Linked DNA regions of Lonchura striata. The protein of the gene in region 1 interacts with the protein of each later gene in a biochemical or structural test. Links are inferred from orthologs where the notes say so. Each region holds a gene or a part of one and is shown on either strand. Other genes may lie near its edges. The genes, in order: EYA2 and homeobox protein SIX1.

The links.
Region 2: the proteins of EYA2 (region 1) and homeobox protein SIX1 form a complex in vitro, tested with the Homo sapiens proteins (2 studies listed by IntAct, with this or other methods). The link is inferred for Lonchura striata from reciprocal best matches to the Homo sapiens genes EYA2 and SIX1.

The regions. Positions count from the first base shown.
Region 1 is NC_134619.1:8,725,260-8,733,073, reverse strand, and holds the start of EYA2 (protein phosphatase EYA2), read left to right. Parts: upstream 1-4,637; 5' UTR 4,638-4,654; coding exon 4,655-4,719; intron 4,720-7,814. UniProt on the Homo sapiens protein: Functions both as protein phosphatase and as transcriptional coactivator for SIX1, and probably also for SIX2, SIX4 and SIX5.
Region 2 is NC_134608.1:5,722,202-5,729,600, forward strand, and holds homeobox protein SIX1, read right to left. Parts: upstream 3,013-7,399; 5' UTR 2,865-3,012; coding exon 2,305-2,864; intron 1,266-2,304; coding exon 977-1,265; 3' UTR 687-976; downstream 1-686. UniProt on the Homo sapiens protein: Transcription factor that is involved in the regulation of cell proliferation, apoptosis and embryonic development. Plays an important role in the development of several organs, including kidney, muscle and inner ear.

The DNA.
Region 1 (7,814 bases):
AATAGATCAGGCACTCCTCAGTTGCAGGGTTTTATTTTTGTGCATTGTGTCAATGATTAGCAACCATATGTTTTAAGACCAGCTTCAATAGTATCAGTAGCTACAGTCCTGCTCTCAGATTACTTTTTACTGCCTGCCTAATTTTGAGCTTTAATAGCTAACATGCACTTTGTTTATCAGTTACAAATGTTCTGAATGTTGATGAAACAGGCTAAACAACACATATTGGCTTATCATCAATACCAAAGACTGAGAGAAATTTGTTAAATGCTGTGGCCTGAGAATTTGCAAGCAAGTTCTTAGAAATAAGAAGAATAATCTCAGCATTGATGGCTCTGGTTCTGAATGTGAGATGTTAGCACTCAGATCCTGACACAGCTCTTGTTGCCCACAGAAGAATCCATCCTACAAAGAGCAGAGCCTTTTGGCACCAAAAATGCAACCAAGTACAGCACTGCCCCCTTGGATGGCACAGTCCCATATGAAATGCTTTATTGCACTGGGAGCAGTCTGGTGGCATTTAAATTAAATATATTTAAAGTATTTCCAGAATCAGACCCTTGGTGTCTTGCAGGCCTGAGCACTAATATGTGAAATAGGTCATTTTTACATAATTCTGTTTATCTGTACAGCAAAGAAATTTAAAATAGTCTCTAGATTATGTTCTTTATTCTGTAATTACTTGAGGACAGAGTACCTCTCCTCTGTTTTTAAATTACTGCATAAATTAACAATGTTCTAACAATAACAGCAGCAGCAATTCAGGACATTTACCAGAGAGAAAGCAACCATTAGCCTTGAGAATGAAATTTCACTGGAATCCACAAAATATTGTGTTAGGAAATATGGTTGCCAACTTTCGCAATTTTGTTGAAAGTCTTCTAAAATGTGAGGGTTGGGGTGTTTGGGGTTTGTTTTTGTTTTTTTCCCCACAAAGCCTGTGTTCTGGCATCATGTGAAAACATGCAAATGTGAGATTCTCAGTTTTAATTTTAGAAGACAACTAAGTTACTCAGCATTGTGGTTGCAAACAGAAATTGAAAACATGAACTCAAGGACAAGAGAACAATTAGGAAGAGTCCAAAATGCATTATTTTAAAATTCTTACACTTTGTAAAGCGATTTCTGACTCAGGGTGTTTCTATCCTCTGGGTTAACCATATTCAGTACCCCAATAAATCCTCTGCATTCTTTTTGAGGATTTCTCACCTTGGTTTGTGACACAGGGTGACATTACATCTTAATTGTGAAGGAAGGTGATGAAGTTCAATGCTGGCTAATTGCTTGTTTTTAAAAACAGAAACAGTTGTTTGTACTCATGTATTTCTCTTCATTTTGACAATGAGGTCAACAGCAGAAACTGGTAGTATTTCCTCAAGGGAAATGTATTTCCATAGTAACTAAAATTTGGGATCTAGCTCTTCACCTTCTCCTCAGAGAGGCTGAGGTGCTCCCACCCTATGGCAGGGTCTGGCAGAAGACAGCTTCCCATGCTCCCTCAGGACAGGGATGTCTGCCTGCCCAGGTGCCAAAGGAGGACCATTATCTCTCAAATCTGTGCAGGACACTGGCACCCAGCCCAGTGATTCGGAGCATTTCCATTTGGTGACTGTGTGGAGCTTTCTGCACCGTTTCCATTTAGCCTTCAAGATACGTGGCAACGAGCAGAGAGTAACAAGTCAAGCAAACCACCTCCTAAACCTGCCTTGTTTTTTGATAAAAAAAGTTCTACTGGTCTGAGAAATCCTAGGCATTGTATGGCTGATGATGGCCCAGCTTGACAAAATAGAAGCTTTTATCAAGCCAACTAAAAGGACTTGTCTCTCACCTGGCAGCCTGTCTGACCCATGCACACCAACCCACAGTCCCACTGATGGGGTAGAAGCCATATTATTCCCTTGCCTTTCTAAATGGCTTTCAACATCTATAGGTATTTTCCTGGATACTAACAACAATGATGAAAATACTTAAAAACCTAAATGAAAAAATATCCTTTATCTTCCTCTTTGCTCACCCTTTTCCCACTGTGCCTTTATTACTTTTCTAAATATTGCATACAATGTTTTTGGTAAATAAGAAGGATATTAGTGTAGACAAATAATGTTTACTCACTAGCTCAAGAAAGGTGTTTCTGGCACTGATTCACAAGTTACTCACAACTTACAGAAATTATTTATACTGAAAGGGACAAGGAGTGTCTTTTTGTGTGCAGGTTGCTGAACAAACAATGAGGTCCTGGTCCCTGCCTGGCTTGCCGTGGCATTACCACAAACAATACTAATTCTTAAATACCTGCCTGACTTTAAGCACTTAGGTAAATAATTGTATTGATCGTTGTAAGCCTATTCACATGCATAAAACTAAGCATATATTCAAATATGTTGTGAAATCAGGGGTTGGGAGAATTTTGCAAACAAAGCATTTTTAGATATGAATTTACTTGTTAAAACCAGCTTCAAAAGGAGCTAATGTGGCAATCAGGCTTTTGGGCACGGCAGGTTGAGGAAGGAAAGGTTTTATTTTCAAGATGGATCCAAGGACTTTCTTGTACTTCAGAGAATTGTCACCAGAACCACAATTACAGGTGAGAAAGGCAGCAAGGAAACCCCCCCAGCCAGTGATTGCTCAGAGTTTAATGTGAGAGCAGTGTAAACTCAGAACTGCAGATAATCCATGGGGAAATCAGGGGGTTAGTGCTGAGAACTGATGGAGAATAACAACTGAAAGAGCTTTGGTTTTTCTAGGCTGGCGGGAGGTAGCTCATGCTAGGAAGCCTGCCAGCTCCAAACTGATGCTAGGAGCTTTGTCTCCTTTGGATTGTAGGAACACACTTTGCAGTCAAATTGATCTGAGAGATTTTGATAGTAAAAACAGCTGTCTCGTTGCAATGATGTTTTTGTTCCATTGTCAAAATTTTGAGTTAAATCCATGAGTGGGCTGCAGCTTGTTCAAACCCTGAACTCAACACCCTTTGTGCTCCTTTGGCTTTTCCACTGCGGTTCACGGGGTATCTCCTTCCTGAGGAAAGGGCTAGGTGTAATAAAAGCCGTCAGGACAAGGAATTGCAGGTCTCCCCCGATGCCTCTGCAGTACTGGAGAGACAGAACTGGAGGACTGCAGTCTGTCCCAGACTGGTGAGGAGGTGAAATAAGGAGGAAGAGCAGGGTGTGGAAATGAAACACTGCAATGCTGCTGTGGTCAGGCTGCATCCCCAGCGAGCAGGTATGCCGGCGGACGGGGGAAACTGTCTGGTACCAGAGCAGGGATGAGGCCAGTAGGAGCAAGGGGAAGCTGTTTGTGGGGTTACAGCACAAGGGGGATTCAGGGAAGGGGCACGCAGTGGAATGTCCCAGCTCCATCTTCCCAGCATAAACCATCTGAAGGTGCCTCCTGCCGCTCTCTTGGATGTGCAAAGAAGCAGATGAGGTGCCTGATTGAGGCATCCAGCACATCAGGCAGGAGCACAAGGGGCACTTGCCAGACTGCCTCTGTTTTTATGCTGATATGAGAGATGGGACAGCACCTCTGTACGGCCACAAATCCATTCTGTGTTGTTGGAGGTGATGGGAACTATGGGCAGGTTTTCGCCCTCTGGGGAGCCAGGAGCCGTGTGATGCTCTCTGAGTGCAGAAGGCGCCGTGTGTGAGTGATGCTGTGCCTGCAGGACCCATGGCTCTGTGGGGCTGTGCGTGTTAAGACAAAATAGACGTCAACAAAAGCCATTCCTTTTAAACTGATATTTAAAAATTGTCACTAGAAACCCTTAACACAAGGACTGTAGTGAAAGCGACTGTTTTCATGGAAACAGAGGCTACAGACAAGGTGGTATTCGCATGGTATTCAAGCGTCCAAGCGCTACGGAAAGAATTTTTTTCAAAAAGAAAGAAATTCAGCAGCTCGATGGAGGCTGATAGCACCAACATCAAACCATAGCCACGGGCGGGAGCAAGCGCGGCCGGCGCGTACCTGCCGCCGGTACGAGCGCTGCCCGGCCCGCGCCCGGGAGCAGCGGCTCCGCGCTGCCCGCGGCGCGGGTACCTCCGTGACAGTAGCGGGGGCTGCCGGGCGGCCCCGGGAGCGCGGGAGGCTCGGGCAGCTCCGTGACAGTAGCGGGGGCTGCCGGGCGGCCCCGGGAGCCGCGGGCAGCTCCGTGACAGTAGCGGGGGCTGCCGGGCGGCCCCGGGAGGCTCGGGCAGTTCCGTGACAGTAGCGGGGGCTGCCGGGCGGCCCCGGGAGCCGCGGGAGGCTCCTCCTCCGCCCGGCACCGCGGGCAGCGCGGCGCTGCGGGCGCCGGGACGCGCCGCGGCCCCAGGCGTGCGGTAGGTGCGCCCCGACGGCGGCGGCACGGGGGCAGCCCCGCGGCGCTGCGAGGGGCCGGCGGCGCCGGGGTCGGGCTGCCGCGGGGGGCGGAGGGCCGGGTGTGCCGGGCGTGCCGGGCGGGCAGCGGGGCACGGAGCCGAGGGCAAACCCCCCGCGCGGTGCGGCGGAGCGGCCGCGGCGCTGCGCTCCGCGCCCCGCGCAGCCCGCGGGCGGCTCCGGCGGGAGGCGCGGCGGGGAGGGGGCGGTGGGCGCGCCCGGGGCGCAGCGCGGGGCGCGGAGCCGCCGCCCCGCTCCGCTCCGCTCCCTTCCGCGGGCATGCGCGCCCGCCTCGCACATGCTCACTGCGCCGGCGGCGGGCGCGCACACTCCGCAGCGCCGCGGCTCCGCGCTGCACCGCCGGTGAGTGGGGAGGGGTGCTGCGCGCCCGCGGGGGCGGGTGCCCGGCGGGGCTCCGCGGGCGCGGGGCGGGGAGCGCGGAGCCCCGGAGCCCGGCGGGGCGGCTCCGGCGGAGCGCGGGCGCGGAGCGGCTCCGCGGCAGCGGCGGGTCCTGCGTGCGGAGCCGCGACCCAGAATTAGCGCAGGGAGTTAATTGCTGCGCAGCGCGCGGTTCGGTTTTACCGTCCAGCGAGCCCCGCTTATTAATGATTTTAATCGCTGAAGAGTGCGTTTAAATAAAATGCGCCACTGCGCTTTCCCGCGGCTGCTTCCTTGAGGAAAACTTGTATGTGATTTATGCAGTTCAAGTAAACTTTTCTGAGTGTTAAATTGTGCTTGAGCCCAGTGAACGGCCTCTGAAGGAAATTATTCATGGTATACAGCTACTGTTGTTCAGACATTTCAAATAATGATGTATTCTTTTGTATAAAGTTGTGATTGCTAAAACGCATGTAGTGAACCAATAAACAGTTTATTGGTCTATATCAAATACTAACAGAAATTTTGTTCAGCGCAATATCAAATACACGCATCCCTGAGCGCCGTTAAAAGCGGTGGCAGAAATGGTTTATTGTTTAGTCTCTCTTGTGGACTTTATTAATTTACTGAGAACTTCTGCTCTCTGCAATGCCATCCGTGGAAGGGTCCCCCTCTTTCTTCTCCCCCAGTTTATTGAGAAAGCATGTCTAAATTTCTTCATGCTAGTCCACGTCTGTGTGTATTAGGACAATCTGGTCCACAAAACATGGCACACATTTAAACTAGTAATTCTGTGTCTAAACTAATGCTGCTTAGATAGTTTCATACATTGAGCATTGCATTGTTTTGTTACTTGTTGCTTCAGACAGGATAAATTCTTTCTCATCTTTTTTTTTTTTTTTTTTTTTTTTTTTAATGTGTGGAAATTGTTTCCATTCCTTAATAAAACTGAATTTTTATTTCTGCTTTGAAAGCATTGGTTTGAAGGCATCAGATGTAACACAAGCAAGTAGGAAAGACTTGCAGTACAAATGCCTTGAAAATAAGGAGTACTTACAGCTTTGGAGACATTCCAGAAACTTTTTAAGCATGTTGTGAAAATTCACTTGATTGGTAGAGCAGCTGATAACTTGACTTAATTGTTCTAACTTAAAACCCTTAATTAAAAAAAAAAATAAAATCTAAATGTATGGTGTAAAATTGAATTGTGTAGTTACAGAGTCAAATTGTCCACGTAACTCTTTTGCCTCTTCTACTCACCCACCAACAGGTCAAAACATTTGGCTAAATAACAAGTTGTGTATGCTTTTGGTTTTACACTCATCAATTTGTTTTGCTTTACTTTGCTTAGCCCACTCCCCTCAGCTCATTTTCTTTTAAAATAGTACGTGGAGACTCGATTCCCATGACTCGCTAATCTTATCACCATTATTTGGTTGAAATTTCTGAAACGGGTTCCTGTTTCAAATACCTCACAACATTGGCAGCCTTAGGTTCCATTAGAAAAGCTTCATTAGGGAGAAATAAAAATGTTGTTGATAACTCCCCCTCCAACAATAAGCCTCATATTCAACTCCTCGGTGTGTGCGGATATGCCTTGAATTATAAAAAGGAATTAAACTCAGGTATTCACACAAGGAACTCGATCTCAGAATATCCCTTAAAGAGTCTCATGTGTTGCTGTGTTGCTATGCATAGCTGGTTAATATGCTTTTCTCTTTTTTTCCCCTGAAAATTTAATAATTTAGCAATTAATCCTGCAAATATTAGTCGCATGTTTAACTTCAAGCCTGCGAGGCATCGGGCTGGATTCTGCGTGGCTGTGTTTGTGTGTCAGTATGTATGTGTACACACTGCTGACAAAGAAAACAATTAAAGACGTTACTAATTTTCTGCTGTCTTCCCAACTGTTATTTATGATGTGTAGTAGTACAACAGCTATTCTGAAATCAGCTATAATTCTCTTTGGTAAGATTTGTTCCTCCTGTGCCAAATTTTGCAGTAACCAGATGGTCTTAAGGTGTCTTCAGCCGGAGAACAAGCATGAACAGCGCTAAAGACTAATTATTCCTCGCAGTAAATTCCTTCTGCAATAAATTCACAGGTTGTTAGACCTAATCTGTGGAAATGATTGTTAAGATTACTTATGCAGTGAAAAATGCTTTAATAAATCTGTGAAAACTAGCAGAAGTTCTTAGAATGCTAAGAAAATATTTTTGAGTTAACTTTGCCTGGCTGGGGTAACTTTTATTTGGGACAAACTGTTAAATGAAGTTACAAAGTCAAATCCTTTTCATAAGCCATAGAACGCTTCAGTTTTAATATGAAGATTTTAAATATGTCCTGTAAGTGGAGGGGTCATTTGGTAGACCATGTAGGGAAAGAAATCTCGTACTGCCGTTCTCAGTGTATAGTTTCATTGTACCTGTGTATTTTTCACAGCAGTAAGAATGTATATTTGATTAGTGCATGGAGGAGTTTCCTGGATAAACAATCATGTTATTTTCATTAAATTTCACATTGTATTGAACAGGACAGAAAAATAGAAACAAAACATATATTCAGAATTATAAACAATGGTATATACTAAAGTAAAGTTGTGCAGGCTTAAATACTTCCTCCTTTTTTGGTGGCTTAATTTAGTAAAAAAATACAAGTTTGGTTTTTTTAGTATATGTCTGTTAAAAAAAATGTAAGTACTCAAACCTCTTGGCATTTTGCTCGCTTTGATATGAATAGGGAGAACTTGTCAAATCTCTTTCCCTTCCTTTTCTGCTGAAAATCCTGGTTGGGACTGTTCATTAAGAGATCCCATCAGAAAACAATTGTTTCATGGCAGTCAAATTCTTAAAACAATACTTCATCTTTATTTGCAGATCTTAACTCAAGTAATGATGTTTAACAAACACCTTGTTTTAATCAGGTGAGGATAAGCCCTTCAATTAGGATGCAAATAATTGCTTGGTTGGGTCATTTGGGGCCTGGAGGTGCTGCCATTTGCAGGTAGATTTGGTGCTACCCAAGGTTTGAAGCAGGAGAGAGAAGAAATGAATAAGGATTTAAATTTTCTGATTTTTTTT
Region 2 (7,399 bases), on another chromosome or scaffold:
GAAAGCACATGCGATTTTTGGTAACAAATACTCGAGACAGGCAGCGTCATCCGCGGGCTCTCTGCAAGCCGGAGGAGGGAGGCGGCGAGCGGGCACAGACGGGAGAAGGCAAAGGGGAACTGGCGGTTTAGGAGGAAATGGCCGTCGACTTTTATTATTACTATTATTATCCTAATTTTTAGCCACATCGATGCATTTCACCACCAAAGACGAGAAAAGTGGGGGACGCGGGTCCACGGGAGCCCACTCAGTATCTGCCTCGCACGGCCGCGGTCAGACACAGGCACTTGGTAAAACTCTAATACTGCAGCTTTTGATATATTTTTTTCCCACTCTTTTTTTTTCTTTTTTTTTTTTTTTTTTTTTTTAAGTTTAAACTACATCGAAATCTTTTTGGTAAGGCTAAGTATGAAAAATGTAAACGTAACTTCCCCTCCCTCCTCCCACTCTGCCACAGGGCTCAGTACAGTGATTCTCTCTCTCTGTCCCTTTCCCAGATCCTCGGGGACCGGGCCAGGCAGCAGCAGGGATGTGCCGGCCGACCCTGCCCCACCGCGCCCACGGCGCTGGGATTTGTTTGAATGGAATCGGATCCAGCAGGGGTTGGGGTTTCATTTTCTTTTTTTTTTTTTTTTTCCCCTTTTACATTTTCTTTTACTTTTTTTTTTTTTTTTTGTTTAATTCCCGTTGGGACCAACTCGTTTGAACTCGAAGGGCTGATGAGGGTTATTGCCGCTCTCTGTGTTTGGCTACGTGGAAAAAAAAATAATTAAAAAATCGTGGTGATAGTGGGAGACGCTGAGGGGGAACTGGAGCAAGAGCCGATGTGGGGTTGTGTGAAAAGAGACGAGAGTCCCGTTAACAATCAGCGGGTGACCTGTAAAACCGGGTGCTGTCCTCTATGTACAACCCAGAGCCTCTGTCCCCGAGCAGAACCTCCTCCTCTCCCGATCCTCCGGCGGCCCGCCGAGGGCCTTTAGGATCCCAGATCCACCAGGCTGGACGTGAGGGGTCCCAGCAGCGAGTCCTGGAGCTGGTGGCCTTGGAGGCTGTGCGGGGTCTGGGATGCGGCTAAGCCGCTCAGGGAATAGCCGGAGCTCCTGGCGTGGCTGAGGTTCCCCTGCAAGAGCAGGACCGAGTTCTGATCCGGGCTTTGGGGAGGAGAAAACTCTTCCTCGGAGCTGGACATGAGGGGTTTGCTTCCATCCAGAGGCGAGAGTTGGTTCGGTTTGTTGGTGGCCGCGTTGTTGTTTTCCGTGTTCTCTCTGGGAAAGGCAAAAAAAAAAAAATGTATATATAATCCCACCACGGGGATGTTAGGGCGGGCACGAGGCGGCGGGGATGGGCATTGTGCTAATGCCCACCGTAAATCCTTCGCCTTTAGTTCCAGCGTGGGAGCAGATGCTTCTCAAGGGGAGAAAAATAATCCTAAAAAAATTCATAACGGATCGTCCCTATTCCTTTTATCCCTCCTACAAATAAATACACTGAACAGCCCGGTAATTTAGGTGAGGAGGGAAAACTGGAGGAAGGGATTTTTTTTTTTTTGAGGGGCCGTCTTCCTTTCTTTTTAATTAAAAATGAAAGTACGGCCCGCGGACGAGCTGGGTGCGGGGTTTTCTCCAGGCGGCTCGGTGGGGAGGCAGCTGAAGGAGATGCCCTCCGTGGCTCTCTGCCTCGCCGGGCCGAGCGGCCGCCTCGCACCGAGGCCACCGCGTCGCCTGCCGGGGTGGCCTCGGTACGGGGCGGCGGCTCGGCCCGGCCGGCGCGTCCTCATCCCGATCTCCCTCTGCTTCCCCCCACCTCGCCATCCCGGAGCTGCATCTCTCTCCTCCGAGCTCCGGAGCTATCCTGCCCGACCCGCGGCCACACGCGACCCGGCATCCCGACCGCTTCCCGGAGCCTCCGGGTCCGCATCGCTCCCGGTTTACTCGAGGAGGCAGGCAGCAAACAAAGGCGGCGGAGCGGCCTGGAAGAGGACGGTGGAAGCTCGTTGCTCCCCCAGGGCAGGTGAGGTCGAGTGAAAAACCCATTTGGGTTTCCACGGAAGGGGGAACCGCAACGCGGTTTAGGAGGGAAAAAAAAAAAAAAAAAAAAAAAAAAAAAAAAAAAAAAAAAAAAAAAAAAAGGAAAAAAAAAATAAAAAGGGAGGGGGGTGGATTTGAAGGGAACCGTGTGTTTTCGTCGCTCCTATCCCATCCGGCTCCGGGTACTCGCCGCGTTCCCGGAGTAGCTCCCGGGTTCCCAAACGCCCCCAGCACGGTGGAGCAGGGAGAAAAGCGGAGAACGGAGGGTGGCACGTACCTTTCCTTCGCCTCCGCCGCTCGGTCCCGTTGCCTTCTGTTCTTGAACCAGTTGCTGACCTGGGTGGTGGTGAGACCGGTGGCTTCCGCCAACTCCCGCTTCTCCCGGGGGGACGGGTAGGGGTTGTGGGCGTACCATTCCCGCAGCACGCCCCGGGATTTCTCCTTGAAGCAGTAGCTGGTTTCCTCGCCGTCCCAGATGGTGCGGGGCAAAGGGAATTTTCGGCGGACGCGGTATTTGCCGACGGCGCCCAAGGGTCTGCCCCGCAGCTTCTCGGCTTCCACGTAGTGCGCCTTGAGCCAGAGCTGCTGCAGCTTGGGGTGGTTGTGGGGGGAGAACTGGTGGCTCTCCAGGATCTTGTAGAGCTCGCGGAAGTTGCCGCGGTGGAAGGCCACCACCGCCTTGGCCTTGAGGACACTCTCGTTCTTGTGCAGGTGGTCGCAGGCCGGCAGCGACCAGAGGAACCGGCCCAGCCTCTCCAGGTTCCCCCCTTGCTGCAGCACCTCGCAGACGCAGGCGACCTGCTCCTGCGTGAAGCCAAACGACGGCAGCATCGACATGGCCGAGCGCGGCGGCGGCCGCAGGAGGACGAGGAGAAGGAGGAGGAGGACGAGGAGGAGGCGACGGGCACCCCGCGGGAGCGCGGCGGCGGAGGGGCGGGGGGTAGGCGCCCGCCGGGCCCGGGCCCGGTGCTGATCCCGATCCCGGTGCCGGTGCCGGCCCCAGAGCGGGGAGGCGCTGCGGCAGGCGAGGGCGGTGTGCCGGGCGAGCGGGGATGCTCGTCGCGGCGCCGGGGGGACTTTGTCCCCGCTCCGCCGCCGCCGCGCTTAAAGCGCCCGAGCCCCCGCGCCGCGCTGATTGGGCACCCCCGGCCCGGCCCGGCCCAGCCCGGACAGCCCAGCCCAGCCCAGCCCGGCCCGGCGGGCAGAGCCTCGGCACGGGCGGGCGGGGCCTGGCGGCGGGGACACGGCCCCGGACACGGCCCCGGCCGCGGCTGCGCGTCCCGCCGCCGCCTCTGCGCGGGTGCGGCCCCGGCGGCCGCGGGGGGAGCCCCGCCGCCCGCGCCCCCGGGCGCATCTCCGGGGAAGCCGCTGCCGGCGGGCTCTTGTCTTTCTTTCTTCCATCTTTTTTTTTTCCACCCCAAAACTCCTGCCCCCCGCCCGCCCGCTCGCCGTCCCCTGCCTAGGCAGCCCGTATTTAATTACCTCCGAGCTGGGGATGAATAAATAATGCTTTGGTGAAGCGCTGAATAACGCGCGGGGCCCGTGCGCCCCTTCCTGCCCCTCGCTCTGCCCCGTTCGCCGCGGGGGGAGCCCGGCGGGTCGGGGCAGCTCCGTGTGGATCGCGGGCAGCGGCGCTGCACCCACCGGCGGCGCTTTAAATTAGCCTAATCCTCATTTGCACACCCCCGCTCAAAAGCAATTATTTAAAAAATTAGAAAACAATTAGGCTCCCTAAGCAAAGATAATCTATTGTCAGCAGGGAGGTGAGGACAATGCGGTGAGATAAGGGCAGGGCGCGGGGGGCTGGGAGTGTCTTTATGGCTGTATTTATCTTTGATTAGATAAGTCGAAGCCCATATTTTAAGCACACTCCAGAACGCTTTGGATTCAGGAATGAGTTCGTTCCGCGGGTGCTAAGAACCATCGCGGGGCTCTTTAAAACCTGTTTGTCCTCACTAAGACAGTCGGATTTATTTGACCTACCAAGTCGGATTTATTTGAGTTCACTGCTCCAAGTGAAGAGGAGCCGCTCCCGGCCGCGGGGCGCGGAGCCGGCGGCGCTCCCTGCCCGCAGCCTCTGCCCGCGCCACGACGTGGGAAAGGCCGATATTTTCCTAAATCCGGATTGTTGTTTTTCCCACGTACTTCGCGTCTCGGTGCTGTTTAAATTAAGCCCCTGCCACCCTGTCTGTACAGCGACTGTACTATGTCCGCTGGAGTCAGGGCGCTTCCATATCCCATGACCATGTGTCTGGTAATTTTCCCTTGCCATTTTATTTTAGTACTTATGATGTTGCAGATGAAGTCTTAAAGAGCTGCAATGTCCTCCCAGAAGGAATGTCTACTTGGAACAGATCCTTATTGACAAGGCAGCTGTGTGGGGACCGGAACGGAGCCTTAAACCCGGCTCTAAAATCAACTAATACCCTAAAGTCTGGAGCAAGTGCGCAGAATTATGAGGCATCGGCTCGCCCGCGGCCACGTCCTGGAGGAGCAGCGCCTTGCCCAGCCTGGGGGTCGGTTCCCCCATCCCTTATTTCTATTGTTATTAATTTTAAATTTTATTTTCTTCTTTCTAATGAGGGGCTCAGCTCGGGAAAAGCACGGACCTGAGGGTTTGTGACTTCTGGATGAGGAGGAGAGAAACGCAACGCGGGACTGGGGAAACCCCTGGGCATTGTAACGAGAGCGGGCTTCTCTTGCCCTCACAGTTCTCCTTTTTTTAGTTGTTCTCTTTTTCTTTTTTTCCCTCCTGTAAAAGGCCGCCCAAAACAAACACTGTTCTTGCTGGGAATAAGCAAATTATCCCGATGTGGCCGGCAGAAGAGATGACAGACACGGGCGAGGGCTGAGCGGAGCCTTTCTCGCGATTCTTGAGCGGAACTTTATTCTTCCCTCTCATCAAAATTCACATGAGGAGGGGACAGACCCGCCAGGGTCTACCTGAGAGTTGCTGTAGGCAAGGACCACTGAGCATCAATGTTCGTTAAGGATTCGGGGTTGGTTTTCCTAAAAATTAGGAACCTTTCATTTTGAACCACGGAAAGAGGCAAATGTACTTCCAGAACACCCCATCCCATTTAACCCTTGAAAAATCACAAAAGCAACAACACAAAAGAGAGTTTCGAGCCGCTCAAAAAATAAAAACATAAACAAGGAAGATGCAAATAAGCAAAACGCCACCGAACAAGACGACGGCACAGAGCTGCTGCCGCCGGTCCCTCTCGGTGCTTCCTTTGCCGGCGGAGCAGGAGCAGCCCGGCAGCATCACCCGGCAGCATCCCCCGCTCCCCGCCCGGCCGGAGCTGCCCGGGCTGTCCCCGCCGCTGGGGCCTGGCTCTCCGCGCCCGCGGAGAGGTGCGGCCGAACGAGGGGGCCTCCGCTGCTCACCCCCATTGCCCGGGCACCCATCGGCTCTGTTTGTGCAGGAAATTCATTTATTCCCTTATTTATTCGATGTATTTATACAAAGCAAAGCGGGGATGAAGATGGAGCCCACGCAACACGCTGCGGGCTTTTTCTCGATTTCGCCAGAAAAATCAAAACAAAGCAGAAAAAACCTAAACCGAATACATCCCCCATTTCCTTCCAAGCTTAGAAATAAAGCTCTTCCCCAGTCAAAAGTAAAATTTAATTTTTTTTCTCTAGAAGTACGAGAATCTAGAGGGAACAAATAGCGCAACAAAATAAAATCAGCAGCGGGTTTTTGGGAGCCGCTTCTCGTCGGGATGAGAACCGGGCTGCAGGCTGGGAACCGGCGGGGCAGAAACACAACGCCGCCACTCGCCGAACATTTCGAAGGCGAAATCCAAAACCGACCCATTAAGTCAATGAGGTTTGTGTTGTAGAGGCTCCTTTCCCATCCACTTGCTGTTCTGAAAAATAGATCGCATTTCGTTATCTCGAGTGAGGATCTGCAACGTGATACCGGATCCGCGCCGCCTTCCTCGCCGAATGCGAGGCGCAGGGAGACAGCCAGCTTCCCGGCTTATTCCCCAACAATAAAGGATTTGTATTTTCTTTCTCCCCCTCTCCCCTCCCTCCTTTATTATTCTATTTTTTTAATGAGGAAGAACAAACCCCTCTCCATATGCACCGCTCTTCTCTTGCAGGAGCCTCTGGCCCGGCTCGCCTGCAAACCGGTGCGACCTTTAATTACTTGTTAGTAAATTACCCTCCCGACACCTGTAAAAACAAAGCCGGTGTCCGCGGGGCCGCTCCGCGTCCCTGCCCGGGCCCCGCGCCCCGGGGCTGCCCGGCCAGGGGGTCCCCCCGCACCCAGCGGGGTCAGGCCGGGCCGGGGCTGCCGGAGGAGGGCCGGCCCGGGCCGGGATGCTGGGGCAGGATAAGGATGAGGATAAGGCCTTCCCGATGTGGCCGATCCCCAGGGCACAAAGGGCTCTTTCTTCGCGCACTTACCGGGACATTTTTCAAAGGATTAGAGGTGATCACGCGTTGTTTTCTTCTCTTCGAGGGCCGATACGTCTTTCTGTCCCTGTCCCCGCACCTCCACCCTTATTTCCTCCTGCTTTTGCCATGGGACCCCCAGATCCCGTCGTCCCCCCCCCCCCCCCCCTTCCCTCTTCGCTAATGTACCTCCTGGATGCTGATTCTTTTAAGCTACGAAGAATTTCCTTTTGGGAGGTGAAACCCTCCAGCTCCTCCCGTTCAGAGGAAAGTGCTAGTGATGGTAATACGGGGTGACACTAAATAAACAGTTAAAGCAGGGCTGGAAAGATGGAGTTAATTATCCAGTGAGCTACATTTAAACCGAGACCAGGAGGGGCAGATTTGTTTTGGCGTAGGGAACCGAGAAGGAGACGAGCCACCGAGGTCTCCTTGCTCCTCTTTGGTGGCTCTTTAACTTGTCCTTGCTGTCGCCAGCCCGGGGACCGGGGTCCTTTGGCCCCGGAGGGGGAGTCCCCGGTTGGGACCCCCGAACCGTGGCCCGCCCAGCCCTTGGCCGCAGCGCTGGGAGTCTCTGTGCATGGGAGCAGGCGATTTCAGGGGACTCGGAGGCGATTTTTTTCATGTTTGTTTGCTTTTGTTTCCCAGAAGTTAAATGAATTCTCGTCCGTGCGGCTTGCCAGTGCCTCTGCTCTCAGGTAAGTCTGCCTCCAAGCAGCAGCCCTGCGATGTGCTTTTGTTTTTTAAATTTCCCCTCCTGCTTCTTCCTTCTTTTCCTCCGTTTTTTCCTCCCTTTCTTTTTTTCTCCCTCTTTTTTTTTTTTTTTCCTTTTTTTTTTTTCTTTTTTCCTTTGAGAAGTCTGATATTAATAATCCCCGTATGCCCCGCTTTCCGGGTCATTACGGTACTGCTGGTCTCTAATCAATCCTAATGCGATGGCAATTGGAGTCTCTGATGAATGCATC